Pelodiscus sinensis: one gene and its partners. The protein of the gene in region 3 purifies or fractionates together with the protein of the main gene of each other region. This does not show direct contact. Links are inferred from orthologs where the notes say so. Each region holds a gene or a part of one and is shown on either strand. Other genes may lie near its edges.

Region 1 (10,425 bases), on a different chromosome or scaffold from region 3:
CAGTTACGACCAAAAATATCGTAAATGGCGGACCCCGAATTACGAACGTGATCCGTGCTTCCGAACAGTGCGGTCACGTGTAACTCAATGGGGTCCGACTTACGAACAAACCGAGTTACCACCAATTGCTTGGTCTGTAACCGGTTCGTAAGTCGGAGACAGTCTGTACTAAATTGAGGAATTTGGTATTTTAGATTAAAGTTGTGTTAAAGGCATATTAGAACAAACAAGATAAAACATGATTAAATACTCCTCCCATCAAAAGAAAGGTCTAAGAGAGAGTTTACATGACAAGTTGCACGTTGCTAATTCTCCATCTGACCACTCATCTCTGATGAGTCAAGACATGTTTAATGAGTGTCAAGGAATTGTGATATTAAGCTTAAATGTTGTCTCACACACACTTCCCATACAAGACTCACGAATAGCCACAAATTGCTGTTTGAAAAGGTGCCTCACGATCCTCTCAAAGACCCTGTGTTATAAACTCTTCCTCTGGCTCACATGGGCTGGATACAGAATCTTCTGAAATCCATTAATACAACTTCAAAGTGATGGACAAAAGTAATTGCTGGAAATCAGGACTACTCCCTTTTCCTCTGCTTAAAGATCCAAATACGCTGGCTGGCTGTTCTACTGGACCTAGGAGCACCAGCAGCAACATTATATTAGAAAAAATTTGATACTAGATTAACCAAATCAAAATTTTGCTTCTCAGCCCCAAACTAACCTCCCCATATGGTAATATTACTCCCCCATGGGAGAATATTTCATTTAGTCACATTTGTAGCTTGAAGCACCACACCAAGGATGGGTACTTTATTTCTCCTGAAATTTTAACCAATGACCAAAAAGTATGCATTTTGTTAAAAATTGTGTATTTGACATTTCTCTCAAAGAAACTTCAGCACTTTTATTTCAAAAAGCAATGTCATGCACCTTTAAAAATAGTAACTTAGTCAAGCAATTAATACATAGAGTGAGAACTCCGCGGGCTGCTCTTGCAGGAACCCTGCATGATGCCTCACCATCTTCAATGGGAATGTACCCCTGTGCAGTTTACTTGGAAATTAGGACCTAGATGTTTTACATTGAACCCTCTCTTGTTGCTCCTATCTTAGAGACTGAAATCTCCCACACTGTCTTACCACCAATCAGAAAAAGGAAAAAATAAAGTATGGAAAAATATTTGCAAGTCACAGATTAACTAGTTTGAAGTTGGAGAAATAGACATTAGATTTACTTGTACATGCTAAATTTAAGATGAAGTTTTCAAAAAAGTGAAATGAAATTCCATCAATATACATTTCTATATTGTGACATGTTGACTGCACTAAAATCTGGCCAATGTCTTTGCTTTATTTATTTTTGTGAACAGTAATTCAAGGCCAACAAGTCAGAGAAACATACTGCTGTAATTAACATGAGATTCAATGTCACCAGACACAAAATGCAATGGCAATGTCATTATACAGCATAATCTACCCTGATCTAATACATTTCCCACTGAGTTACCACAGATCAATTAGCTGATCCTATTGATATATTTTATGGATAATTTAACAAACTAACACGGAGAGAATGGTTAATTAAAACATTTTGTTTTACCATAGCATCCTTGACATTTAAAAGCAAACCAAAATATACATTAAATGGCTGTGCCTTTGAGATGCAGAACACAATTAAACCAATATGAGATCCTAGATAAAACCACGAATCTTCCACATAAGTATTATCCTAGGAACAAAAGGATGCCGCAAAGCAGCTGACATACATGTGGTATACAGAAGAAAATAGCTCACGTCAGTGATATGGATGGAATAAAATCATTCCCACAGTAAAGCTCCTCCCCACTTCCTTGCTCTTAGAACCAGCCACTAAATAAATTCATTCCCATTACAAAACAAACCTGCTGTATCTCCCCATTACATACCAAATCACTGAATAAACTCACTAAGATCAGAGATTCCTTTACCACCTCCTACATCCACCTTTCCCCACACCTCCTCATCTCATAGTTGTTATTAACCCTGATACTAAAATTCCAATGCCTCTCCTGCATTTGACTCACCCACTATACTTGCATCCTACCCACAACAACATACTGAGTTAAATGTGATTTCCCAGATATCACCTCAACTCAGCCATGCAATTAGCCTAGCCTCAAAACAAGATAACCTCCTGAGCTACACCAGACTAACACGGCTACATTTCTATCACTCCTGCCTATGGTCCCTTTAGCTGCCTCCCATTATGACTGCAGCCAATTCCATCTCCCTTTAACTCCTGAACACTCTCTCCTTCAGTCATCTTCCCGAAGACCCCCAGTCCTTATCTTCACCCCAGAGTACACAATACACTTCCCCTCCTCTGTCCAATATGAAAACCCAGACACACACACACAGCATTCAAAGATCCCCCAACACCATAAGACCTTTCCACCCTTCACACCTTATTCCTCCTCCACAGTCCAGTGTACCCTCCAACCCCTGAGCCCTTACATATTTTCTATTACTCCTCCACACCCTAATGTACACCCAACTCTAGACCACCCCATAGACACTATCCCTCCTCCACACCCCAGCACACACCCCCACAGAGACCCTCCACATTCATCCTTCACACCCAGGTGTTCTTCCCCCACAGCCTAGAGCCCCCCCAGATACCCTGAATCTCCTCCACACCCCAGTGTACCCCGCACCTTCGAGCCCCCCAGATACCCTGAATCTCCTCCTCACCCCAGTGTACCCCGCACCTTCGAGCCCCCCAGATACCCTGAATCTCCTCCTCACCCCAGTGTCCCCCGCACCTTCGAGCCCCCCAGATACCCTGAATCTCCTCCACACCCCAGTGTACCCCGCACCTTCGAGCCCCCCAGATACCCTGAATCTCCTCCTCACCCCAGTGTACCCCGCACCTTCGAGCCCCCCAGATACCCTGAATCTCCTCCTCACCCCAGTGTACCCCGCACCTTCGAGCCCCCCAGATACCCTGAATCTCCTCCTCACCCCAGTGTACCCCGCACCTTCGAGCCCCCCAGATACCCTGAATCTCCTCCTCACCCCAGTGTACCCCGCACCTTCGAGCCCCCCAGATACCCTGAATCTCCTCCTCACCCCAGTGTACCCCGCACCTTCGAGCCCCCCAGATACCCTGAATCTCCTCCACACCCCAGTGTACCCCGCACCTTCGAACCCCCAGATACCCTGAATCTCCTCCACACCCCAGTGTACCCCGCACCTTCGAACCCCCAGATACCCTGAATCTCCTCCTCACCCCAGTGTACCCCGCACCTTCGAACCCCCAGATACCCTGAATCTCCTCCACACCCCAGTGTACCCCGCACCTTCGAGCCCCCCAGATACCCTGAATCTCCTCCACACCCCAGTGTACCCCGCACCTTCGAGCCCCCCAGATACCCTGAATCTCCTCCTCACCCCAGTGTACCCCGCACCTTCGAGCCCCCAGATACCCTGAATCTCCTCCACACCCCAGTGTACCCCACACCTTCGAGCCCCCAGATACCCTGAATCTCCTCCACACCCCAGTGTACCCCACACCTTCGAGCCCCCAGATACCCTGAATCTCCTCCTCACCCCAGTGTACCCCGCACCTTCAAACCCCCAGATACCCTGAATCTCCTCCTCACCCCAGTGTACCCCGCACCTTCGAGCCCCCAGATACCCTGAATCTCCTCCTCACCCCAGTGTACCCCGCACCTTCGAGCCCCCAGATACCCTGAATCTCCTCCTCACCCCAGTGTACCCCGCACCTTCGAGCCCCCCAGATACCCTGAATCTCCTCCTCACCCCAGTGTACCCCACCCTCGAGCCTCCCTCCTGTTCCTCCTCCGCACCCCAATACCCCCCACACCCCATTGCCCCTCAGGCTGCCAGCGTAGCCATAGGAACCCCAACCCCACAGAGCTCCCCCCCCCCATCCGGACGCAGCCGAACCAACTCTCCCCAGCAACCCCACTGGCCCGGAGGCGCTCGCGCGACGCCGCTCTCCGCCAATCCCAGCCGCGAAGAGGGGCGGGGGGGGTCGCGCGGCCCGGGGGCCCTCCTCATTTCCATGCCATTTGCCTATGCTAATAGGCGCGCACTCACTGTTGAGGCCCGGCTCGGCGGGCGCCCCGTCGGCCGGGGGGTTGTTGTTGTTGTGGTGCTGCGGCGGCTCCGGGGGGCAGGACATGGCGGCGCGACGCGGTGGCAACTGAGGAACCTGCGGGGCTGGGACGACAACAACCAGCCGGAGCCCACCTCCTCCTCCCCCCCCCCGCCTCCCGCCGGCTGCGCACGCGCAGCCCGGAGGCACCGCCCCCCTCCGACTTCAGAGGCGGGCGGCGGCTCGCGTCGCCGGACTGCGCAGACGCCGCCCCGCCGGCAGCACGCCATCTGCAGTAAGTGCGCATGCCCTTCCTCGCAGCGCCGCTTGGCCATCGCTGCGCATGCGCCCCCCGCCAACGGCCTCTTTCTTACGCATGTCCCACTGTCAACATTTTCCCCGCCCCGCTCATTTCTCAATACGCATGCGCCTTCTGGGGACCCGCTGTTGACGCTCGTGCGCATGCGCTAGGTTGGCTTGTAGCAGCCCAGATGGAGTCAAGATTCCCATAGAGCTGGGAGGGAACCTCATCCCCTTCCCCCCCCCAACCACACAGCCCAGGGGCCCCCTGCCTCCAAGTCTCTCCTGCCTGTAGCCACCACACTAGCCCTCCTCCCGGGCTCTGAACAGACCCCCTGCTCTGGGCTGGTCTGTAATTTTTTTGTCCCCATCCCAATTTCCCAAGATACGGGGTTCAGAAAAGGGCAACAAAAATGATGAGGGGGTTGGAACGGGTCCCCCATGAAGAGAAATGAAAGAGGGATTTTTCAGTTTAGAAAAGAGGAGACTAAGGGGGGAGTTGATAGAGGTCTATACAATCATGACTGGCGTGGGAAAAGTTATTTACTTATTCCCACAATATAAGAACTGGGGGGGTGGGTGGTCACTAAATGAAAATAATAAGCAGCAGGTTTAAAATCAACAAAAGGACATTTTTCTGCACGCAGGCAACCTCTAGGACTCCTTGCCAAAGGTAGCAGAGGGATAGCCCTGTTCGTCTGAATCTGCAAAAGCGGTGAGGAGCCCTGGGGCACTTTATAGACTAACTGAAGTGTTGGAGTATAAGTTTTCGTGGGCAAAGACCCACTTCGTCAGGTATATGTACATCTGATGAGTAAGGGTAAATTTATACTCCAACACTTCAGTTAGTCTATAAGGTGCCCCAGGACTCCTCACCGCTCTTGCCAAAGGATGCAGTGAAGGCTAGGATTATAATAGGGTTCAAAAAAGAACTAGATAGGTTAATGGAGGTTAGGTCCATCAATGGCTATCAACCAGGATCGGTAGGATGGTACCCCTAGGCTCTGTTTTTCTGGAAGTGACAGAGGAGGGACCACGTGAGGATTACCTGTTGTGATCCCTCCCTCTGGGGCATCTTGTATTGGCCACTTTGGCAGACAGAATACAGTAAACTTCCGATAATCCAGCACCTTTAGGACCCAGGGGGTGCTGGATTATCAAATATGCTAGAGTACCAACAGGGGGGCTATGAGGGATGGGGTCAACGGGGAACTGCGAGGCATAGGAGAGGGCAGCGCTATGGGACCAACCCAGCAGCACCCCAGCTGCTCTGCCCCTAGCTTCCCCAAGTTAGCCGCTGCTGAAACTGACCAGTGGCTGATTTGGGGAAGCCAGGGGCAGAGCAGCTCCAATTGTACGGCTGGCGGAGCACTTCCGGGTTCCAGTTAGTGCCAGACTATCAGAAGCGCTGGACCGCCAGATGTTGGACAATTGGAGTTTTACTGTACTGGGCTAGATGGACCTTGCGTCTGACCGAGTCTGGCCGTTCTTATGTTCAGTGCCCAGACTCTAGAGAAAATAATACAAATAGCAAGTTAATGAAAAGCTTTCAGAGCTGTTCAAAAAGGTCTGGCTACTCTGCTAATGAGCTGGGTAGCATTACATTTCTCCTGAGTGGAAGGACATGCACAGATTAGAGGGCACACTGCCTCAGATCTAACTCCAGCCACTTTCAGAACTAGGGCTGCAACAGTTCCTTAATCCAAGTGCAAAGGGTTAAAGCAGACCTGCATAATCTGTCATGGTGCAGCTCTCCAGGGATGCTCACTTTCCCTTCCCATGAGTAACCTGCTGCCCTTACGAGCATAGAACAGTTTAGGCCCAGTTGTTGAGCATGTTTATTGGAAATCAGGGTTTAAAGGACTGCTACTTTTAAAAGGACTTAGTCTGTAACCGTTGGTTTTTTAACACGCCTACCCCTCTGATGCTTTTAAAAGGACTGTTTAGATGATTCAAAACACACAGACATAAAACGAACATGAACGTCATGAGAAATGGAAAGTAAAAGTGATAACAAAACAGGCGCATATCACCATAATCCACTCTGCCTTTGTGTCTCCGTAAACACACTCAAACCCTTTATTAACCAGGACTTAAAAGAGCAAATAGAACCAGGGAAATTCTCCTTCCAGCCTTTGCCACAGACTTAACTGAAATTAAAAGAGAGACAATAATTCTAATGTTCCACAGGAACCTTTCATTGTGTTAAAAATAGACAGTAATGCTAAATGATCAGAGGGGATAAAACGCCAAACATGTTGTGATTCCTACCTGGGAAATCACAATGCTATGGCATACACCTTTGGCAGACAGCAGAGGGATCTTTTATCTTCCGAGTAGCTTCTGCGCCAATAGCGTATTTTAAATTGATTTCTTGATGTCATTTACAAAGTTGATGGTCTTCCATTTGCCCCAATCCTAGTTACTTTAAGTCCTTACAGGAAGGACTAATGCAGACTGGAGGCTTGGCACTCACTTGGTTTACCCCCAAAAGAGCTGAGTTGACCCAATTATGAATACGTGCTACCAAGGAATCTTAAGCAGTTGGAGACAGTATTGCCAACCCCAAATGCTCAAAAATCATGAATCAGATCATAAGAACGGCCATACTGGGTCAGACCAAAAGTCCATAGAGCCCAGTATCCTGTCTTCCAACAGTAGCCAATGAAGGTCCCCATCATCCCTGCCCATCCTGGTTAACAGCCATAGATGAACCTATCCTCCATCAATTTATCTACAGTAAAATTCCAATAGTCCGGCACTCCTGATAGTCCGGCATCAAAATGGCAAGAGCCTAGTGAGTGAGCTTCGGCAAAAAATGAGTCACAAGGTAACAGCGGCAGCAGCTGAATTGAGCAAAAAGGGTAAAAAAGGCTTAAAAAACTAAAACGTTACAGTATACTGCATGTACAATAAAAAGGGTTAAGAACACTATTTACAGTATATAATGTATACAGTGTGTGTGTGTGTGTGTGTGTGTGTGTGTGTGTGTATATATATATATATATATATATATAAAAAACCATCTTATAGTACCTCCTGATAGTCTGGCATATCTGATAATCCGGCACCACCTAGGTCCCATAGATTATCGGAAGTTTACTGTAGTTCTTTTTTTAACCCTGCTAGTCTTGGCCTTCACAACATCCTCTGTTGAGTGCCCTAGGTCAACTGTGGGCTGTGTGTAGTACTTCCTTTTGTTTTAAATTTGCTATCTATTAATTTCATTTGATGACCTCTAATTCTTGTGTAATGGGAAGACGTACATAACTCTTCTTTATTCACTTTTTCCACACCTAAGATCATGCAATGCCCCTAGTCTGTGTAATCACCATGGTTTGTAAATTGAAAGTGCACCTCTGTATTATCAGAGACAATAGCCAATCCTGAAACACTTGAGTAGCTCTTATCAGAAGAAAACCAAAGCATAACCATTTCCTAGAGAAACCAGTTCCCTCTACTAGCTCTCTACAGGGGGCAGATATTGTGATAATGCAAAATTCCCAAACACAGAGGCAGGAGGACTCTGAGACCAGACACCCAAGATGATGGGCAGGAAAGTAAAAGGGAATGGAATGGCCAGAGACAAAAGCTTTGTGTTTTAACACAGATGGCATGTAACTTACAAATACTAGATGAACCTAGGTGACCCTGACCACACTCAAAATATACTCTGCAGTAGTAAGGAAACGGAGGCAGAGATACGCATGTCACCAATGTCCAGCCTTTCCTCGTCCATTCTTTCATGCAAGTCAATGCTGGACTATTCCATTTTATTACAAGCATATTCTTTCCAGTTTGGGCCAGAATTTTGTTATGGGAAAAGACCAGCACATTTCCATGTAGTTTATTGTTATAGCTCTTTGTATTTTTCCAGCTACTGAAAAGCAGTAGTCTGTTAGTAGCCTGTGTTATATGCTACACCTATCATATGACCCCTCAAAGAAGTGAGCAAGAAGTCTCATGCTGTTAGTGGGATGGGTGTGTTTTAGACATTGAGGGAGCTCCCCAAGTCAGCACAGATTCCAGAATGTGGGCACTGACTCTGTGGTTTAAGCTCTTAGGAAGGGGCTGCACTTTCAGCGAGCATAGAGAACCTATGACTGAGGAAGTGCCTGTATCCCATTCAGACCCTTAAAACACACTGAAGGATTCACCAGCAGGGTGCATTGCTTGCAGTCTGGCGAGCTGCCCCAATAGGCACGTGGGAGGCCAAACTTGGTATAAGGAATTCAGCCAGAGTTCCTGTTGCCATCATGATGTGAGCATGCCAGATCTAATGACTTGCCTTCCCCTCTTTTCCACTAACGGGCTTGTAACAAACTGTAGGGCTACAGGAAATGGCTCCCTCTTTGTAGTATTTGTAATTGGCAAAGAGGGACCTGTCCAGGGCACACTGGCTACCTACCATTATTCTAAACGCATAACAAAGAGATGGTTTCTCCCCCACAGTGGTTGGTCTCACTTTCCCTTGTGGGTCAGGTAGTGCTAAAATATACTGAAGATATTCCTTGAAATTTGCATGCAGTTCGATGTAACAGGTCAAATGGATTTTAATGACAATGGGCAGCCGACAGCTAAAAAAAGCAGCTTAGGGGACCAGATGTCTTGATTTTCTATCAACTGTCCTGACTTTCAGGGGGGTTTCTTATATAGCTGCCTACTACCCGCTATCCCAGTCCTGGTCACCCTAAAGCAGCCAGGGGTGCAGCGCACTAAAATTCCACAGCCTCTGTTGAGCTTGCAAACTAGACCTCTGTGCAGGGCTATTTTTTAAATCCTGCTCTTCCCACTCCCATGATTGGTTCTTGCATTTCCTTTTATTTCACTCCCAGCTGCAAAAAGCCATAGCTCCAACAAGAGAGATTCGTCCATGCCACTAAAAAAGCCAGTGAATGTATGTGTACGCACCTATGTGCCCATGTGTGTGTAGTTTATGTAAATGGGTAAACAGAACTTAAGTTTTTACCACTGAAACAAATCATACTTAAATCCTGTAAAATATTTTAACTCACTGTAAGACACAAGGGGGGATATGATAGAGGTCTATACAATCATGACTGGTGTGGAAAAAGTGAATAATGAAAAGTTATTTACTTCTTCCCACAATATAAGAACTGGGGAGGGGGGGTCACCCAATGAAATTAATAGGCAGCAGGTTTAAAACAAATAAAAGGAAGTTTTTCTTCACTTAGCACATAGTCAACCTGTGGAACTTCTTGCCAGAGAATGCAGTGAAGGCTAGAACTTGAACAGGGTTCAAAAAAAGAGCTAGATTTATGGAGGTTAGGTCCACCAATGGCTATTAGCTAGGATGGGTAGGAATGGTGTCCCTAGCCTCTGTTTCTCTGGAGGTGGATGACAGGGGTGGGATCACATGAGGATTACCTGTTGTGTTCCCTCCCTCGGGGGCATCTGCTATTGGCCACTGTCAGCAGACAGGATACAGGGCAGAATGGACCTTTTGTCTGACCAAGGATGGCCATTACGTTCTTAAGAATCAAATCTATTTCTTGATAAAGATGTAAGTATTAAAACCTTTATTTTAAAAAAAAGAAAATCTTGCTTTACATTGCTGAAATGCTGTTTATGGCAAACTGATGGGATTTAGCCTTTTCCAGCCAATTGTCTGTCTGTTGATTGGCCCACCCAATCCTGCCCACAAAAACTTTTACCTGCTCCTGCTATAACAGCAATGGGTCCTGAGTTCAGTTGCAGGGCTCTGTTGCGAAGTACCGATCCACTAGGATGGGAAACCTAATTATTGAATCCCTCTGCACTCTTGCTTGCTCTCGCTCCTAGGAAACATTAATTAGCCTCCTGGCAGAGGATACCAAATAAAACAAGCAAGCATTGCATCAGAAAAATTCTCTGCAAGCACTTTCCTCCCCATTTTAAAGGAGCCGTGAATTGTTTTTGAAAGCATGAAGGACTTTTCAAACTCAAGTGGGAGAGCAGACTGTGGATGAAAAGGCTGTACATGGATTTATGCTGTGGAAGAAAGAGCCAATGAACTGG
Region 2 (9,921 bases), on a different chromosome or scaffold from region 3:
TTCTTTGTGTGACTTCTAAGTTAAGGGCTAGACATCTAACAGGCAGTAATCAGAATTGCCATGCCTACAAGGAATTCAGGGCATGTAAGTGGACTGAACCAGAAAATGGTCATGAGTAAATAAAGGGAAAATGTGTATTTAGTCACAATTAGGACATTTTTATTGCTTGGGTTCTTTGGTTAAACTTCTCTGTGAGAATCTATTCCTTCCCTCCCCCATTCACTAAGAGCATATCAGAGGTGTTCTCTGTGTTTTAATTTGTTTTACTCATTGCTCTGTAACACCTAGTAACCAAGTATGCTTTACTAAATATATCTTTTTGTTTTGTTAATAAAATCACCTTTTTTAAGGCGATTTGTTGTGTCCTGGAAAGAAAGAGGGTGTCTGTGTGTGTGTCTGCCTATCTTGAGAGGTCAGCTATCAAAGACACAGTTGGTTTTCTTTTGTTTCTTTTTTTCAAGCTCTCTTGTGGCAGAGAAGCATGGGGTACTCGGGAAGGAAGTCCAAGTGCTTTTTTCCTGGGATCAAGAAGAAAGGGATTTGTTTTACTTGGTAGTGGCAGCTACCCCTCAAAATCAGTAAATCTGTGACTCTGGGAAGTTTTTGTAAGCAGAGCCTACAGAGGGAAGTTATTTAATGTCTCTTGCAGGCCGACACCTTCTGCACTTGGAGTGCCAGAATGAGGAACAGCGCTGACAGCTACATTAAGCCATCTTAAACAAGTGAAAAAACACAAGTAATTCACTGTTTGCTCTACTGCCATGTTGTGCTAACATCTAGGAGTTGATTTATTAGTGCCACCTTTAAGGGCCCATCTACACTACATATACAAGTGTTAGGAGCCTTCTGTTGCAACTGAGTTAGATCATAGTTCCATCATTTACTCTTTGAACAAGATCACACTACATGTTCTAACATTGTTCTCTCATGATGCAAGAGATCTGGACCTAATCTGTATGTGCTGTACAGGCAAAACTTTGGATAATGGCCAGTGCTGATAAGTGTTAAAATTATCAAAGTTCCAGCTCTCATCGATTTCCTATTTATACAATTCCACAGCCATTCAAAACTGCTTCACATGTCAACTAAACACAGTCCCTGATTATGACTTTGTATATTGGATCTTTTAGTGATTGGTGTTATAGATAGATTACTGTAAGTGAGCTCTTGCAATAGTGATTAGATACTGAAGGCTGATGTTTAATAAAAAAACAGGAACATAAACAGATATGTAGGTAGGAGAGGTTGAGAGCTGGAAGGCAACCTGAGTGGAATGAGTTATGGGTAGGCACTTGAAGGGAAAAAAAATAAGACTGACTGGTGCACTGGACTAGGCAATATTACACAAAAATAAAGGCTAGCATGAGACAAGCCAAAGATGGAATAATTAGTGGGATATTATTGGATCTGTGAATATCTTTAGTGCAATACTTCCAATGTTAGTCACTGCCACAGAACATTTGCATAAAATTCTGATGTCTGAAATGACAAATTGCTCTGAGAGCAGACAAAATTCAGTGTGCACAGAATGCCAGTCCCTCTCTCTCTCTTATCTCAAATATCAGTGAAGTCCCCATTTAAAACAACTGTCCTTCACATGCTTTGACGGTTGTCTTATTCCTCAGCTCCTCAACAAACTCCTTTGCACTTCCAACATTCCAAATACAAGGAGCATGTGCAATTACACTAGATCACATCTGAATGCATAACCTCTTACCTCTGACTTAGTACTTTTTGTCTCGCAAATAACACATTCTGTTCTTTACGAGAGTGCACGTCTCTTGAAACTCTATCCTAATCTAGCTCTCTCTTGTTGGTGTGCGGCTGTGTGATTTAGATTTCAGTGCTTTTTTAAATGTGTTCCATTCCTATTCAGAATTATGTTCACTTTTTGGTCACCAAGACATTGAGCCAGCCTTGACTTCCCTGATAGAGAAGCAGCTGTCTGTCTCTCTTCATGAGCCTTGAGAATCTCCTACCAGAAATACTATAAAATTAAAATACATAAAATTGAACCTTACTTCCAAAGGAAACTGTATATTTATATCCCAAATGTAATCATGAGCTTATCATGCAAACTTGTCTTAATGTTCCAGTCCAAATGTGGTGCGCACACAAATATTTATGTATAATGTTTACCATTATTACCTTTCCAACCACCAGGTGAGGAAAAGACATATCAGGCTAAGTCCCTTTATGATATGTGTGTCTTATCTGTACATATCAGTGATAGAGAAATAAGACCATCTGAATCTTTTTTTTTTAAATCTTCCAGGGCTGAGAGAGTTATGAAACACCATCTTGTGGTTTTGCTACGTGCAAAACTTCTAACCCTTAAAATGACAAGGTAAAATAACTGGCATTATATATAGTTTAGGCAATTAAATAACCACACCTCTCTGTCTTTCACATTGACACACAGTGAAATCATAGAGAAGATTTGGGAATGTAAGCTAGACTTTTTGATCTTTATTTTCAAATCTGCAAAGTATGCAGGAAATACCTGCATTCCCCAATTTGAGGTGAATAAGGGAGAATTCATAAAATATCTTCTGCAAACTGATTTCAATATTTTTAAGTATGGCAAATATAAGCCCTGATTTCATTTTTTGTCACCCATGGTAAAACACGCTTATTTATTAAAATCCTATCTCTCATTCTTCCATTCCTCTGTTGTGAAAGAAAAATATATTCAGCCAAAGGATTATGGTTTGCTGGGGGGATATGTCAAACTAGAATAGGTAAATCTGAACATAAAAAGATGTTTATTATTTATTTCCAACAACAAAAAATAGGGTGCTTCCAAAACGACCCAAATCCATCACATCTGTCCCATGGAGTTTCAGGTCTAAGGAACATCAATTATATCAGGGAGCTGGCAAGAAGGTGCTTTTCTTTCTTAATCCCACAGCTAGCCATCCATGAAACCGTAAGTGTACCTGCCATGTTTGTGATAACTGGATTGCTGCTAATGGCAACCTCACTGCATGGGGGTGGGGAAAGGCGGCGCGTGTAACGAGATACCTCATTGACTGTGATTTCTAAATTGCTCACATTAACCCTAGCTCCAGACAAGGTACAATAAAGCCCGTACGCAATCCCACACTACTTGGATTCAACGACAGTCCTGGCGCATGAAGGACCGATCACCATCCATTTACCAGCGCTGGCAGGGGCAGTCTACCCCCTGCTTGTCAAGTGTCGTGTTTACTGCAGGGTTATTTATTGCGCCTAACAGCAGATCTTGTCTTGCGAAGGCGTCACGGGCTATCAACAAAGGGAACCGGAGTCCCAAACAGCTCCCATTCCGGACAGCCAGTGGTGAGGTCCCCGCAGGCTGATGGAATGGGGGTGGGGCGCTTCCCTTAGGGGGCCTGCACTAGGGGCCTAACCCTGGCTAGTAAGGGGGGCTCTTACCGTGCAAATTCTCCTCCGGCTGGCTGAGTCCCTCGCCCTGCGACATTGTCTCCGGCTTCTTCGGGGCAGGCGCTGCTATTTTCAGCCTGCGCTTCTCGCGTCCCGACGCGGCTGGCGGGGGCCGCTGCTGCTGCAGCTGCTGACTGCGGCCAAGTACGCAGGGCGGGCGGATCAGTGGCCAGCAGCTGACAGGCTCTGTTATTGTTATTGCTACTGCAGGTTCTGGGGCTTGCTGGGGAGTATGACGTCTCGAGGGAACGGGCCACCCTGATTGGCTGTCATCACATTCCTCCCCTTTTGCTCCTGTAGCGCTTGCGGGTGCACGGGCTGCCCGCGACCTGCTGGGAACAAGCTCAAAGCCTGGATGTCTCCGAGCGGCTACTGCCCTCTGGGGCCTAGTGGCGCCTCTTCTTTCATTGCAACATGGGGCAAGGCTGTTACTAAGCTGTTACGGAGCACCCGGCTTTTGCACATTGGCTTTTAACGCTTCCCCGGCCCCCCACCAGCTGGCCCTGATCAGGAAGCGCCAAAGTCAGAACTCACTCCTGATTGGCTAAAAAGATATCAAGCCATGGCTAGTTTGCATTGGACACTAAGTTGGCCTCATTTCAGATTGGGTGGGAAATGAGGGACAAAATGTTCAGTTCCCACGTTCACTAATGTGCATTGATTTCTACGCCGAGGCTCATGACATCATTTTCCAGCACTGTCAGGATCACGTATTCATTCCTTCACTTGCTGTGCAACTTGTTACTGACCGGTGTGGCTAGAAGTGTTTCCCTACTGTTTACTAATTGTAGTGGCTTTTAGACACCGTCTGTAAGCCTTGTATTACATCCAAAACGTGGATCAGTCTAGCTACCTCGGTTGTGAAAAATATACCAACCTAACCCACGTTTTATACAATGTTAGTCAATAGAAAAATTATTTTGACAGTCCAGCTATTTCCTCTCACGGAGGTTGGTTTACTATAGCAATGGGGGTTGGGGTGGGGAGGGAGGAGGACTCTTGGTTGCTGCAAGAATTATCTTTGCTACAACCAGACATTTCTGACCAGGAGGGCCACAGTCAAATATCAGTTTGTGGTAAATTGCTTTTGAGCCATCTTTGCTAAATACTATTCTACATATAATTTTTAAACTTTCTCTTTCAACATTTTCTTGGTGGTAAAAGGGGTTCGTATAAGTAGATCCAACACTCTGTAAGCACACATTTCAATGTCATAAGAATTTTGCCACTGCATAGCTATGAAAACACTCTTGTGTTGCATGGCAGAATTAGAAACATAGGTACATCACTTCAAGGCTGCTCCATTCATTTTCCTAGTACAATCCTCTGAAATTGTTTTCAGAAAATCCAAGACCAGTTAAAAATAAAAATTATTTTAAAATTAAATGTCTGACTTAAAACTACTGCTTTTAACAAGCTCTTCTATTTTAAAATAGATTTAACTATAAAACCCAATAACATTTTGGAAAAGCTCTATTGAGTTTAGTAGAGATGAAACCTATAGGGTTCTATACACATTATTTCAAAATCCTATAAAGTGTAATACAGGTTGGACCTCAATAGTCTATAGGCCGACAACATCTGTGGCCCAGCATCCCTGTGGGTGCTCCCAGGCTGGAGCACTCATGAGGAAAAGCTGGCCTCACACTCAAACTCTTCATCTGCGCCCTGCCTCTTCTCTTGAGCACCGGCTCCCTAAGTCCCCACTCCCTCAGTGCAGGCCGCTCTGCTGCTGCTGACAGCTGAGGGCCTGCAGCTAGCAGCTGCAGAGGAGTCAGCATTGACTTCCCCTGGTCTGGCAGATTCTTTGATATGGGACCAGTCAGGACTCAACGGTGTAGGTTTTTTACCATCTTATTAACTTCTATAGCAAGGGTGTTCAGAAACCTAAAAAAGATTATCATTTACTCTTAAATTCCATATGATCTTTCATGGGAAAAATAAGAACTGTCTTAACTTATACTTTATCACTTGTATATAGGGCCTTTTGAGCTGATGCAATATAAATGTAATGGTTACGTGCATTTCTTAATGACATAAGGAACAATTCATGCTGTTGACTTGCTCACTTTTTAAAAAAACAGTGACCTATTTTTTGAAACATTTTAATTAGTAAACCATGGGATTATATCCCTTGCTATTCAATAAATGACAGTAACTAATGGCTTTATAAATTTCAGAAGGGTAGCCATGTTAGTTGATAACTAGTTGGTGCTAGTCCTGTAGCACCTTAGGGTATGTCTTCACTGCATTCCTCTTTTCAGAGAGGAATGCAAATACATCCGAGCAAAATGGCAAATAAAGTGTGGATTTGAATTTCCTGCACTTTATTTGCATAATTGCTTCCGGGCGCTTTTTTGAAATACCGTATTTCGAAAGAAAAAAAACGCAGTCTAGACGGGGGCTATTTAAAAAAAATCCTTCTTTCGAAATAATCCTTAAACCTCATTTTTTAAGGCGTAAGAGTTATTTTGAAAGAAGGTTTTTTTCTCTAAATAACTCCATCTAGACTGCGTTTTTTCTTTCAAAATAGGGTATTTTGAAAAAGTGCCTGGAAGCCATTATGCAAATGAAGCACAGGAAATTCAAATCCATGCTTCATTTGCAATTTCACTCAGATGCATGCATTCTCTTGAAAGAGGAATTCAGTGTAGCCATACCATGAGAGACTAGCAATTTAGAAAAAGAGAGAAAGTATCATGAGCTTTCGTGGGCAAAACCCACTTCCTCAGATGAGTGGAGAAAAAAGGGGGTGCTTTGTGCAGGCTACCCTCAGCCCTGTCCCTTCCACCTGAGGCCCTGCCCCTTCTGGGGACACAGAGCCAGTCCTCCCCACACCCCACACCTTGCCCAGGGGCATGCAGAAGCTGTTGACTTCCCTGACCTACAAGACCATGTAGGCTATGAGAATTAGATGATTTGTAGACTGAAAGAATTAATTCTGACCAATCAGATATTAGAATTCTTAATTTGTATTTATACACCCACATTATTATTTCTTCATATATTTCTTAATGCAGTTTAGTGTACCCCTTTAACTGAAGTAGTCAATGTGCTAACTAACCGCTGCCTTTTATCTCCTTTCTTACATCTTTTATCTCTTCTAGACTGGGAGTAAAGTTCCTTTTTATGTGACTCCTGATGTGTCATTCTTGGGGGAATATACACAAGGATGACTAAACCAGTAGCAGATTAGACAAACACCTGGCAGGGATAGTTTAGATGGTGTTTGGTCCTGCCATGAGTGCAGGGGTCTGGACTTGATGACCTTGTGAGGTAAGATGCTTTCAGTTCTATGATTCTATATTGCATTGATACTAGAAATATTTATTGCACTTGCCTCCAGGATTTATAGTGTGGCTGCCCTGGCTATCAAAAGGAACAAGTCTCTGTGCATGATTGCTTACATGGGCTCAAGGTAAGACCTACCTCAGACAAAAGAGGGTCAATTACTATATTTTGCTTGTCACCTATAAGACACCCGTAGAAAGTACAAATTATCAGCAGAAGCCAAAGATAGGAAATGTTGGAGGAAAAGATTAAGAACATAACATAAGAACAGTCATACTGGGTCAGATCACAGGTCCATCTAGCCCAGTATCCTGTCTGCCAACAGTGGCCAACACCAGATGCCCCAGAGGTAATCCTCACATGATCCCTCTCCTGTCACCTATTTAGAGACAAACAGAGGCTAGGGACACCATTCCTACTCATCCTGGCTAATAGCCATTGATGGACCTAACCTCCATGAATCTATCTAGTTCTTTTTTTAACCCTGTTAAAGTCTGTTAAAGTCTGTTAAAGTTCCACAGGTTGACTGTATGCTAAAGGAAGTTTTTCTTCATTCTGTTTTTTTTAAACCTGCTGCCTATTAATTTCATTTGGTGACCCCTCGTTCTTTTATTGTAGGAATAAGTAAATAACTTTTCCTTATTCACCTTTTCCACGCCAGTCATGATTTTATAAACCTCTATCATATCCCCCCTTAGTCTCCTCCTTTCTAAACTGACAAGTCCCAGACTTTTTAATCTCTCTTCATATGGGACCCATTCCAAACCCCTTATCATTTTTGTTGCCCTTTTCTGAACCTTTTCCTCATAATAACGATATGGTGATTTTAAAATGTTGCAAGATGGTGAAAGAATGAAAGAGCAAATACGTGTACTGTAATGATAATGCTAGGTTCTGAAATTATGTATTGCTCAAAAAGTCATTTTTAGAGCTAGGCCACAAATGTATTATAATGATTACTTTGGTGACTTTAATTTCTGTCATGATGTTCAAGTGGGAAAAAAGGTAATATTCTCAGGATGCTATAGACCATGAAAATAGACCGTATCTGTATCTATTATAGCTGAATTAGAGTTAGTAGATGTGCAGAGAGCACCACCTAATCTAAAACACTGTGTTTTCTCTACCATGGATAAGCCTCCACCCAATTTAGACATGCCTGTTAGATACCCTACAGTAAACTTCATAAAACAGACTCTGAAAAATAACCCAGACTCTTGTCTGATAGCAATAGCGGTGTTAGTCAGTTTACATATATTCCCAAAGTGCATGCCACTATCCCCTATGGAGAGCTGTTTACTGGCTATCAGCTCCCATATTTATGTTTTCAAAGAAGCCATTTGCACAGGACACGTGACTCAAGGTGTGTGATGAAGCCTTGAAGGCTTTCGTAAGAGGCTTTTTAACTGCTTACTCAAACAATTAAAAAGGGGAAGGGGGAAAGAAAAACCCTTGACAAATTTAGGAGAGCCAGATGCTGAACTGCTTCACTGTTATTCCTAGGAAACTGAAAAAGCAATCTTCATGACAAGAGAATTGGATTGACTTTGTAAATGTTAAGAGCCAAATCAGACCTCTTCTGTTTCTAAGGGATAATAGACATGGGGACAAAGCAAGCTTCCAATTAATATGAATCATAAATAATAAGCTTCCATTAGTGTGACTCATTTTAGCAAGTCTCATTAGATTGTCAGCTCTGAGGCAAGGATTAGATCCTTCCGTGTGTTTCTGCATGTCCTAGTATAATGAGACACCAATCCAAATTTAGGTTAGGACCTGTGATCATTCATGCAATATAAATAATTATTCATAACCATAAACTGCTCTTCCATTAAATTAATAGATCTCAGGCACGTGAAATCTTTTAATAGATTTTAGGCTTTGGATCAGGCCCTAATACCTCACATAGGCTCACTAATGGGAAAAGGGAAGTCAAACAATCTGTGATCTAACTGATGTCTTTGCTTTGGAAAAAAGCACTGGGTCCTAATAAACTGCCCATTGCTCCCCCTTGGATCATTTGGTTGCATTTTTTAAAATACAAGGGGATGTATAGGGAATGTTTTGATAGAAGCAGACCACTAAACTTCATGAACAAAGCTCTGTTCTCAGTAATATTTAAGCCAAATCAAGATCCACTACAGTATTCATTTTATTGACCGGCATCTTTTTCAAACCATTATCCAAAAGAACAGAGTACCCATATTTAGGATAAAATACAGAGATTAATCAGTCTCAGTGAAGTCATCTTCAGTGTCTTTGAATCTGAGAAGTTGGTGACCTATATATAGTGCCTTCAGTGGAAATCATCTTTGACTAGATTGAGTGTGAGCTTCCAAAACAGAAACAGATGAGTTTTAGTAACAGTTTTAGATAATGTATTTCCACATTTAATAGTGGAATTTCAACCTGATTAATATAAATTCATGATGACTGGTAGAGTCATCTTGTTTTCTAACGGGGTTGAAGAAGGCACCAATGTAACCAGGGCTCAACAATTAGGGCAATCTACTCGCCGGTGGCGAGTAGATTTTAGCCCGGCACAGTGCCGCAGCGTGATCAGCGCATGCGCAGCACGGTCTGCACATGCGCAGCGTGCCAAACTGCGTGGCTGGCAAGCGGGGCTCGCCGCCACTTGTCAAGCCCTGACTATAACTATCTTTTTTTCTGAAAAATGTTTCACCTTGACTAGGTGGTAGCAATAATGGAAGCATTGGTGTAGAGAAGGCACCAAGACCTGCTCACATTTTACAAGCCTATTGTGTGAAATTGCAGTGTGCAGGTTTAAATCAAAGGGTACATCTACACAGCAGTGTTATTCTGAAATAACATAGTCCGCTTCTACACTGCAAGCAGTTATTTTGACACAATGTCAAAATAATATCAAGCTGGAGGATTTCTTACTCAGATTTCTGTAACCCTCATTTTTGAGGAGTAAAGGAAGTCGGAAGAAGAGTGCTCTTTCTCGGACTTCCTGCTGTGTAGACTGCGCCAAAAGCCAAAATAAGCTATTTTGACTTAAGCTATGCAGTTGACGTAGCTCAAGTTGCGTAACTTATTTTGGCTTCAACCCTGATGTGTAGATATCCCCAAGCAGTGATCACAACACCGAAAACTAATAGAACCCTGACCACACTAATGTTAGAAATACTAGAAAATCTTTCAGAAAAAAGGCCACGCTAGATTGTCTGAGAGCCACACGTA
Region 3 (10,470 bases):
CCCTCCACAGCCAGCAATAAGAGCTCACCTGGTAACCCTCACTATGCCTCTGACGGGAGCCTGAAACATACGGCTGTATCCGCCCAGCCCGGCTGAGGGCTTGGGGAACCCAGCGCTGCACGGACAGTCCGGGAGCCCGGAACACCCTGGCAGCCATGCTGAGGCCCGGTATTTTTTGGGAAACGCTGGTTTATACCCTTCCATGACAGCGCTCCAGTCATGTGAGTCATCCCACCAAGTCTCTGTTATCCTAATCAAATCATAGTTCTTGAACTGAGCCAGGGCCTACATTTCTTCCTGTTTGTTACCCAGGCTTCTCGTATTGGTGTACAAACACCTTAGATAACCAGTTGATCACCCTACTCTCTGCATTCGAATCAGGGGTCCTCCTTTGTTGCTCGTTCCTCTTTGCATTACCTCCCAGTATCCGACTTCCCCCTCCTCTCAGGGTTTTGGTCACTGTCTCCCAACAAACCTAGTTTAAAGCCCTCCTCACTAGGTTTGGAAGCCTGCCCGCAAGATGCTCCTTCCTCTCTTTGTTAGGTGGATCCCATCTCTTCCTAACAATCCTTATGCCTGGAACAGAGTCCCATGGTCAAAGAAACCAAAGCCCTCTCTGCGACACCACCTGCGCAACCATGCATTTACTTCCTCAACGATCCCTATCCAGTCCTTTCCCTTCAACAGGGAGGATGGATGAGAACACCACTTGCACTCTGAATTCTTTGATCCTTCTTCCCAACTCTACGTAATCCACAGTAACCCAATCAAGGTCATTCTTGGCCGTATCATTCATTCCCACGTGGAGAAGCAGGAAGGGACAGCAATCTGAAGGTTTGATCAGTTTTGTAAGCCTCCAAAGACTAACATTCCCTACTGTTATACTGATTCCAGAGAGACATAAACACAACATACGGATATTAAAAACAGTATACAACAGATTCTCGCTAAATACACCAAACTCAGAAAACATTTATGTAACTTCATATACTGTGATATGTCATAAAAAGACAGCTGTTTCACACATTCTAAGAACTATTTTAACAGTCAATATTATGATAATCTTAACTACTTAAAATCCTAAAGGTAACACAGGAAAAACTATTCAGAAGTGTTTGGGTTACTAATTTGTAGTGTCAAATTGTTCAGAGCATATAACTTCCACCACATCCCTGTTTTCAAACATCTGAATTCATTGACCCTCTCCTCCTATTAAGATGAAAGGAGGGACCTGTACTGTATGCTGCATACAGATGTCCACTCCAGCGACATTACAATAGTCCCATTAAGGTGACAGCTGGCATTAAATAAGTTTTAACACTCAACTATAGATAGAACAAATTGAATGTTAATATATTATCTAGCCAATGTGAACCCAAGCCTGTCTCCTGATGTTTACCTCAACCACCAGTGCTCATCACTATTTTTGAAGTGGGTGTCACTTTGGCAAAAAAACCTTCAAAGTCCTCAAGACTTTGCCCTACTCCCTCCTTCACCCCCATTTTTCCCTACTCTCATTGAGTTTCAACAGGCTGGGTCAGGAGGTTGGGGTTCAGCAGGGGGTAATGGATGCAAGCATTGGGAGGGACTTTCGGAGCAGAAGGGCACTCCGGACTGGGGCGCAGTTTTGGAGGACAGGAGGGGGGTATGAAATGTTGGCTTTGGAAGGGGAGTCAAGGCTGGCATGGGGGGGATGTCAGAATGCAAAATGGGGTATAGGGTGTTGGCTCTAAGAGGGGGTCAGAGCTGAAGAAGTGGGCTATGCCCATGAAAGCTCATGATACCAGCTACATGTTTTGTTAGTCTTTAAAGTGCTACCAGACTATTTGTAGTTTTTTAAAGTTTATTTAACAGGTTGACTTATTAACTGGGATTTTACATCCCTAATTCTCATCTAACTACCTACACTGGATAAATCTGTTTTTATAATATTATATTAGCAAAAAGCATATAGTTTAAAATATAAAACAGTAGTCCCACAACTGTCAGGTGTGCTCACTATGGGAACGTGGAAGAAAGTTTGGAGAAGCATGGCAGGTGCCAAACCAGCCCCCACGGGTGATGGGAAGGGAGCCACCCAACACAGCTCCACTGCCAGCCCTGACTCTGCCTGCAGTCCCAGTTACAACTCTGGACTCAATCACAACCCAGTTTCTAGCTGTGGCCCCAGTTCCTGAGCACTGGCTCTAATAGATTACATGTGAAAAAGTTTGGAGACCATTGATCTACAGTAATTTTACAGCAATTAAAAAGGTGTGAGTTGTCCAATTATACACAATGCTATTATCTACTATCTTGTATCCCTATTACTGTCAAATTCATCTTCCTCCTAAGCCCCCCTCTCTCTCTTAGGTTCTGCCCCTTGTCCCATCTTCGCTTACAAGCTCTTTGAAGCAGAGCATGTCCTTCACTAGCTGTTTGTCACCCTGAATAACATGGGCCTACATAGCACCTCTGAGTTAAAGATGTTAAATTGCAGTTATTTTACCAGTCAAGTAGTCGATGGAATTTCAATTGACTACTTCATTAATCGATAGGTACTTCTGCATTCCTCCTTTGAAATGTACGAGAGCCCCAGCAAGGAATGCGGAACACCACATGTAATCCAGAGCCAGTGGGAAGTCCTGCTGACTCCGGGCTGCATGCAGGGTTTGAAACGTACAAGTCCCCAGCGGGGGCTCTTGTGCATTTCAAAGCGGAAGCGCACTCATGGAGCTAGGGGTCAGTGGGGAACTCAAGAGTCCCATGCTGACCTCAGGCTCCATGTTGCACTGCCAATTTGAAATGCCGCACGGAGCCTGGGGTCAGCTAGGACTCCCCAGTTGATCCCAGTCTCCACACAGCATTTCCCCAGAAGCCAGGGTTAGTTGGGTCTCAGCATTTCAAAAGGGCAACACTTCACAGCTGAGCCGGTGTTTCAAAGGGGCAGTGCCTCACAACTGAGCTGGGGATCAGCTGTGAGGTGCTGCCCCTTTGAACACCATCTCAGCATTTCAAAGCGGCAGAGCCTTACAGCTGAGTTAGGCTCAGCTGTGCAGCGCCCCCCTTTGCTGCCTCCATCTGATAGAGGGAGCAAGTGGGGGAGGTCAACTAGTCTTTAACATCCTTACTCCGGGCATCAATGTAATATTTTTTTTAAAAAAATCAAAGTCTGAGCAATCAAGATAACCATTTTACTACTGCCCATGGCTGTTGTGTATGAAGATTTATGAAATTCTAGCACTGGAACACTAGAAACACAATGTGCATTTTGTCATGTTAGTTCTCCATGGAGTCTGTTATGGAGAGGTGATCTAATTTTGTTAACTGCCTGGAATGCACATATGTCTGATAAAGTGACACATCACATCAGGGGAAGAAAGTACATTAAGTTTGACTATGTACAGTATGCAAGGATTAGTTTTCCCTGAGGAAAAGATGGGGTGACTTGTCACTGCTGTGTGTGAATATAAATATGGCAGGTGGATACAGATTGGCATTGGAAGGGGAAAGTGAGTTTGGTAGCTTGAAGGAGTGGAGGTGAGGAAAATAGGTAGGTTTGGCGGCTGAAAGGACTGGGAAGGGAGAACTTCAGCACTAGGAGGTGCAGGTGAGATTGGGAGCTGAAAAGAGAATGGAAGGGTGTAGGTGAGTTTGACATCTGGAAGGACCCTGGGGTCAGGGCAGGGGTTTGGAACCAGGAAGGGTAGATGTTAGGGTTGCCAATCCTCCAAGATTAATTCCTGGAGACTCTTCAACAAAGATTAATCTTTATTTAAAAACTGTAATATGATGAAATCCCCAATAATTCATCCAATCAAAATCGGTAACCCTGGTTTGACAGCTGGAAGGCGCTGAGGAGAGGAGGGAGATAGGTGGGTTTGGCAGCCGGAAGAAGGGAAGGAAGAGAGAAGTGGGTTTGGCACCTTACAGCTGGAAAGATGGGGGGGGAGGCGGAACAGTTCAGCACTGGCATGAAGAGGAGGGCGGCGGGGGAGGCTGTCAGCACAGGGGGAACAGGCGGGTTTCGCAGCTAGGACAGCCATTGCGAGGCGCAGGGGCGACGGGGGGAAGGGACTCGTCACTGACGACCTAGGGCAGGTGGGCGTAGCGGGGCCCGTTGCGGCGCAGGGGGCAGAGCTGCGCTGCAGGCTGGGGACTCACGGCTGGCCAGGCGCAGGCAGCCTCAGGACGGAGACCTGGTGGCCGGGGGCGAAGGGCGCTCCAGGCAGGGCCGGCCGGCCCCAGGCGGCAAAGCGAGGCAAGGGAGGGCTCCCAAAGCCCACGCGCGGCACTGACCAAGGGGCCCGGTCCCCGCCCCGGGCACAGTCGGTGGGGGAAGGGGCGGGGTCCCCGACGGCCGGGACCGGCGCCTGAGCCCTGCGCGAGAAGAGAAGTCACCGTACCCGTCCGCAGGGCGGAGCGACCCGCGCCGCGCGCTGACACCAGCCACACCGCCGGACAGCCGGGGGCACCACTCGGGGCGGGGCCGGGCGAGGCAGCCCCAGGGCGAGAGAAGGCGGAGCCCCAAGCAGGAAGACGGGAGCTATCACGCGCCGTAGCGGGGTGGGGAGGGGAGAGCGTGGTGGGCGGGGCCATGACATGACACCAGTACGTTCTGTGAACGTAGGAAGGGGCGGGCAAGGAGGGGGGGCGGAGCACCGTGGGACTGTTATTTAGGTTGGGCGAAGAATAACGGTCCCCGGGATTGGGTGGGGCTCGGGTGTGCTCAGGGGGAAGACTTGCTGCCGTTGCGGCGGTTGGAAAACGGGCGTGGGGCTGAGGGTGGACAGAAGCCTGCCGAGGAAAACAGCCCCGCCCCTTTTCCCCGGTCACGAAGGCCGGAAGAGAGGCAGCCTTGCCCCCTTGTTCTCCCACGGCCTCGGGGGCAGCGGGCCGTAGAGAGGGCTAGCCCGCTGATTGGCTGCTCGCGCTTACGTGGGTGATGACGTGAAGGCGCTCAGGCTGTTCGGTCCAGGGGGAGCCCGTTAGTCTGTTTCAAAGCCAAACCAAGCAGGAGTCTGGTGGCATTTACAGTCTAACACCCGCTGTTCGGGTATCAGCCAGTGGGCCGTAACCTGGGGGTAATTGCTCCTCAAGGGGGGATTTGGCATATTTCAGAGAGTAATGACTTGGTCAGCTTCACACACGTCTGATAAATAGAGAATTATCAGTGCAGAAAAATACTAATTATATTATTAGATTGAACTAACACAAAGTATCAGTGACCGCACTAATTTAATTTACTTTATTTAACAATATTTTATTATATTTCCTTCTGAGGTGATGCAGTATGAATCCTGCAGTAACAGTGTGCATTGCAGCACACCTTGATCTGACTTGCAGAGTTCAATCCTGTTCCTGTTCAATTCTTATAAAACCACTGGCAAACCCAATGAAAGATCATTTTTATTCAGCCTGGGTAATGAAATATATGCAGAATTTTCCTGCAGGATGACAGAGTGACATCATCCTTATTTCAGCTAAGTTAATTTTATGTGACAGAATAAGTAAAGGAGAAAAGAAGGAAGGTGGTGATGGGAAGGACTAGCATTCAGCAGTGTGATCCAACACGCACTGGCTGCGTCTAAACTGGCATGATTTTCCGCAAATGCTTTTAACAGAAAAGTTTTTCCATTAAAAGCATTTGTGGAAAAGAGCGTCTAGATTGGCATGGATGCTTTTGTGCAAAAGCACTTTTTTCGGAAAAACGTCCATGCCAATCTAGATGCGGTTTTGCGCAAGAAAGCCCTGATCTCCATTTTCACCATCAGGGCTTTTTTGTGCAAAACAGTTCTCAGTTGTCTACACTGGCCCTCTTGCGCAAAAGCAATTGCGAAAGAGGGCTTTTTCCCGAACGGGAGAGTCATTGTATTTGTGGAAGAACACTGACAATCTTACATTAGATCGTCAGTGTTCTTGCGCAAATTCAAAGCGGCCAGTGTAGACAGCTGGCATGTTTTTCTGCAAAAGTAGCTGCTTTTGCGGAAAATCATGCTAGTCTAGATGCAACCACTTAGTTTAGGCATGTGTCCATGTTGCTGGTTTTATTTTGAAAATAAAAATGCAAAACTAAAGTTAATATACTGAATATTACCGATAATGCAATATAAAATATTTGAGTTTTCATAGGAGAGTAGCAGTTGACCAATCAGAGTAACAAGAGAACTCCATGCAAAAAGGATAGCATGAAGAAAACCCAGATACATCTCTGGTGAAAGAGATGAAGGGAGATGAAAACTTATTTTTCCCTGGCTGCAGATTGTCATAGAAAACCACTGATTTTTTTTTTAGGCTTTGATCATTTACAATACTTACATATATGCTTAACTTCACACAATGAGTAGTTCAGTTGATTTAGTGTATTATCTCTCAAGCTCCAAAAAATAAAGCTGATTTCACGGATCAGGCCTAATTTCACCTGGACATGTTTGTACAAGAGGCTGAGTTAATAGCCTCTATTCAGTTGTCAGTGGGGAAGAAAAAAGTGGCTGTGAAGGAGGTTGTAAACTCCTACCACTGTCAATAATGCTGAAAACACACACAATCCTGCATTAGCATTATATCAAAACACTTTACTATGTTGATTATATTTTTAAAAACTTATTGAAAATATAGAATTTCATTTAAAAATGTAATGTTTTGCTGAGCAACAGCACAGTTTTGGGCTTTACAGGTCCTGTTGGGAGCAGAAGTCAGTGACTTGGAATTTGGTATTGTTTTAGTGTAATTTTCACAGAAGATGAAGAAATGAGAGACACTCAAGGGCTCATGGGCACCTCTGGAAGTCTAGTCCATCCCACTGTGCTGAGGCAGAAGTAAGTATACTAGACACCCCCTAATAGGTGCTTATCAAACCTGTTATTAAAAATCTCTAATTATAGGAAGGTTGTGAAATTCCCAGATTATCTACTTAGGTACTTGATTATTCTTATAATTAGAAAGTTTTTCCTATAAAAAAATCAAACATAGAAAGAAGTTGCAGAATGAAGCATATCAAATATTAAGAAATTTTAAGGAAAGCTATATGCAGACAAAATTAAAGCACTTAAAAGAATTTGAATATTCAGCAACCAATTTTCACAAAAACAAGAAAGGAAACAGGCAATGTTATGCAAGTCAGTTATAGCAAAAACAAACAAACAAACAAACCAACCTTTGCCTTTGGCCTCATTCAGAAGGAGAGTTTGTAAAAGACTATCAGTGCAATTGCAGCTTTATTGGCGCCAGAGAAAATTAAATTATTTGGGAATGTGAGCTTATCTCACAGGACAGTGTCAGATTGAATTTATGATATGGCTCAGGATATTGAAAAGTCTCTGAAAGATTCTGTGGCTGATCTTGAGTTTTTCTCTCTGGCTATTAATGAGACAACAGACATAAGTACAGTCCAGCTGGCTATTTTCTGCATGGAATCACACCAAGTTTTGAGATTCAAGAGGATTTGCTTTCTTTATTATCAATGCACAACACCACCAAAGGTGAAGACATTTTTGAGAAGGTTACATCAGCAGTACACAAGTTTCAATCATTATTAGAAAAATTGAGTGGTTCCAGCTATGGTTGGATCTCAGAAGGGATTAGTTCCCTTAGTCAAGAGAGAAAGAGATCATCTTAGACATGATCCAAGTAAGTTGATTGTGTATCATTACATCATTCATCAAGAGAATCTGTTCAGTCCTTGCAACTAAACAATGTAATGTCGATTGCAGTATCAAGCATTAACTTTATCAAAAGTAAAGGACTAAGCAGCCCCCAGTTTAAAGAGCTATTGAAAAATCTTGAATCAGATTATGGTGATAACAATAATAAAGTATAAGTGCAATGGCTGAGCTAATGGAATATGCGGATGTGGTTTTACAAACTGAAGAAAGAAGTAAACTTTTCATGGTGACAAAGGGAAAAACCTGTGGCTGAGTTGTGTGATGCCAAATGGCTATGTGATCTGGCATTCATGGTTGTGTTAGTACAGGCAGTCCCCGGTTTACGAACAAGATAGGGACTGTAGGTTTGTTCTTAAGTTGAATCTGTATGTAAGTCGGAACTGGCGTCAGCCGCTGCTGAAACTGATCAGTTTCAACCGCGGCTGAATCTGGATGCCAGTTCTGACTTACATACAGATTCAACTTAAGAAACCCAGGCATCCCCAAGTCAGCTGCTGCTGAAACTGATCAGCGGCTGATTCCAGGAAGCCTGGGGCAGAGCAACTCTGCCTCGGGCTTCCTGTAGTCAGCCGCTGGTCAGTTTCAGCAGCGGCTGACTTGGGGACGCCTGGGGCAGAGCAGCTGGGGTGCTGCTGGGTTGGTCCGGAGCTACCCCCCCAGCAGACCAGGGACACCAGAGCAAAGCTGCCGCCTGGGCGGCTTTGCTTCCGGGCAAACGAGCAAAGCCGCCCAGGCAGCGGCTTTGCTCTGGTGTCCTTGGTCTGCTGGGGGGTCCAGCGGCTTTGCTGGACCCCCCCCCCAGCAGACCAGGGAGACCGGGAAAAGCTTTTCTCGCCCCGGAGGACACAGGTGGCGACCCGCCGCCCGTGAGCTCCGGGGCGAGAAAAGCCCCGTTCGTAAGTGCGGATCCGACATAAGTCGGATCTGCGTAAGTTGGGGACTGCCTGTACTTGTGAGAGCTCAATGTCAAATTGCAAGGGCCTAACCAGTTTCTTACTTCCTGTTTTTCAAATGTAAAATCATTCAAAGCTAACTTAAAGCTATGGCAAATTCAACTAGAATAGGGCCAAAGTTGATTATTTTCCAACCCTACAGGGGCAGAAATCTGCATTAACAATGCAGAGCACACAAGGGAGTATTCAAATTTACTTCAGAAATTATTGATTATTGAAATTACAACTGGATACAGAATTATTTTCTATGCTAGATATGCATTTTTCCCAGTTATGTAGAAAATATTTTCACATCATATGCTGTATGAGTTTCTTGCTCCACCCTGTTTAGAACCCTTTGGATTGCAGTCATATAATGATGAACTCTTAGCATAGTTTTGAGACTATCTGCCCTTAACTGTTTGATAGAGTGAGCTAATATTTCATGATGCATTAATTGCTTTAATGATTTCAAATCACCTCCTATGTGTATTGGTTCAAAATATATATATACAAAAGATATTCTGGTTTTTTGTGGTGGATGACATACCATGTAAGGGCAATATTAACTTTGCATCCTTGTATTGAGAATACTTTACACATACACAAATTATAACCACAACTGTGTTCAATTGTATAAAATCTGTTAACTAAAATACAGGACATCAGCTTTTAACATAGAAACAATACTTTTCCATTTGTACTAGAACAAAATTACTTATTAGAGAAGAGTGGTGAAGCAGTTAAATTACATTTACCTGCGTGGGAATTAAGATGCACTTGATGCTCCTCCCAGAGGTTGGTTGTATACGGGTATGTTCTAGTCCCTTTTGTTCTATATATGCTTGCATGTTGACTGTGAGATACTGGGAACATGTAATATGTACCTATTTGCTAGCTTCCATGGGCATTAATAAGGACCAAATATTATCCTATGAGGATCAGTGGATAAATATACTCCTTGATAGCATGAATTTAGAACATAAGTGACTATGGTTTTGTTGGCTCTTGAATAGGTAAAGTTGACTATTTGCCTCCAACTAAAATAAGCCTTTTCAAAGTCATTAGTTTGTTCCTATATAATTTTTCTTAACTCTATAGGTAGCCCTCCTCTAAATCCATCCCAAATAATGGCCTTGGTGACATCTAGCAATCTTATTTCTCAAGATTGAAATCTTCTTCAAAGTAATTATTTCCTGACAATTCGCATCACCCTCTACCTGACCCTAGTATCTTCCTGTAGGAAAATATTTCCTATCTCCTGGGTGCATGGTTATTAGTACAGATACCTTTGTTGAACACTTACAGATAGCTGCATCCCATCAAAGTCTTCCCTATATTTGGGCATACTAGGACATCCATGACATCTTGAGCAGTGTATACATGTCAGTTTCCAGATCCCATTCTGGTTCACCTGGGATATTCCACTGGAACAAGATAGCATCATCATGTTTTGGACTGTTTGTTTATCCTCATGAGTAGCCACTGGACATCAAACTACTATCAAAATTAAGGGAAGCTTAGAATCCCAATTTTCCCCCAGGGACATCAATTGCCTTTTCAACATGTTTTTGATGACCCAGTTTCATTTTTCAACCCCGAGGCCTGGGGATGTCCAGCTATGTGAAATTGTTCTTCTGTGTTCAAAGGAAAGAATAGTTGTTTCATAAGGTCCCCGGTGAAGTGGGGCCCTGATCAGAATCAATTTCATTTGGGAGGCCAAATCTAATGAAGGTATTGCATAAATGCATACAATTCCCAATGATATTAGTAGAGATTCTTATGCAGTGTGAGGTCAGAATAGGGTCTATATAGAACACTTTAGACCCCTTTGTATTTAACTATTGAAAGTATTTGTTTGTTAGGAAAGTAAATTATAGATAGATGATGTAAAA

The links.
Region 1: the proteins of FBXL4 (region 3) and BNIP3L purify together in Homo sapiens (affinity purification with western blotting; 4 studies listed by BioGRID, with this or other methods). This does not show direct contact. The link is inferred for Pelodiscus sinensis from reciprocal best matches to the Homo sapiens genes FBXL4 and BNIP3L.
Region 2: the proteins of FBXL4 (region 3) and BNIP3 purify together in Homo sapiens (affinity purification with western blotting; 4 studies listed by BioGRID, with this or other methods). This does not show direct contact. The link is inferred for Pelodiscus sinensis from reciprocal best matches to the Homo sapiens genes FBXL4 and BNIP3.

What each region holds. Positions count from the first base shown.
Region 1 is NC_134738.1:8,839,422-8,849,846, forward strand, and holds the start of BNIP3L (BCL2/adenovirus E1B 19 kDa protein-interacting protein 3-like), read right to left. Parts: upstream 4,313-10,425; 5' UTR 4,195-4,312; coding exon 4,110-4,194; intron 1-4,109.
Region 2 is NC_134718.1:47,394,092-47,404,012, reverse strand, and holds the start of BNIP3 (BCL2/adenovirus E1B 19 kDa protein-interacting protein 3), read right to left. Parts: upstream 3,781-9,921; 5' UTR 3,464-3,780; coding exon 3,418-3,463; intron 1-3,417. UniProt on the Homo sapiens protein: Apoptosis-inducing protein that can overcome BCL2 suppression. May play a role in repartitioning calcium between the two major intracellular calcium stores in association with BCL2.
Region 3 is NC_134713.1:70,077,367-70,087,836, forward strand, and holds the start of FBXL4 (F-box/LRR-repeat protein 4), read right to left. Parts: upstream 4,540-10,470; 5' UTR 4,386-4,539; intron 1-4,385. UniProt on the Homo sapiens protein: Substrate-recognition component of the mitochondria-localized SCF-FBXL4 ubiquitin E3 ligase complex that plays a role in the restriction of mitophagy by controlling the degradation of BNIP3 and NIX mitophagy receptors.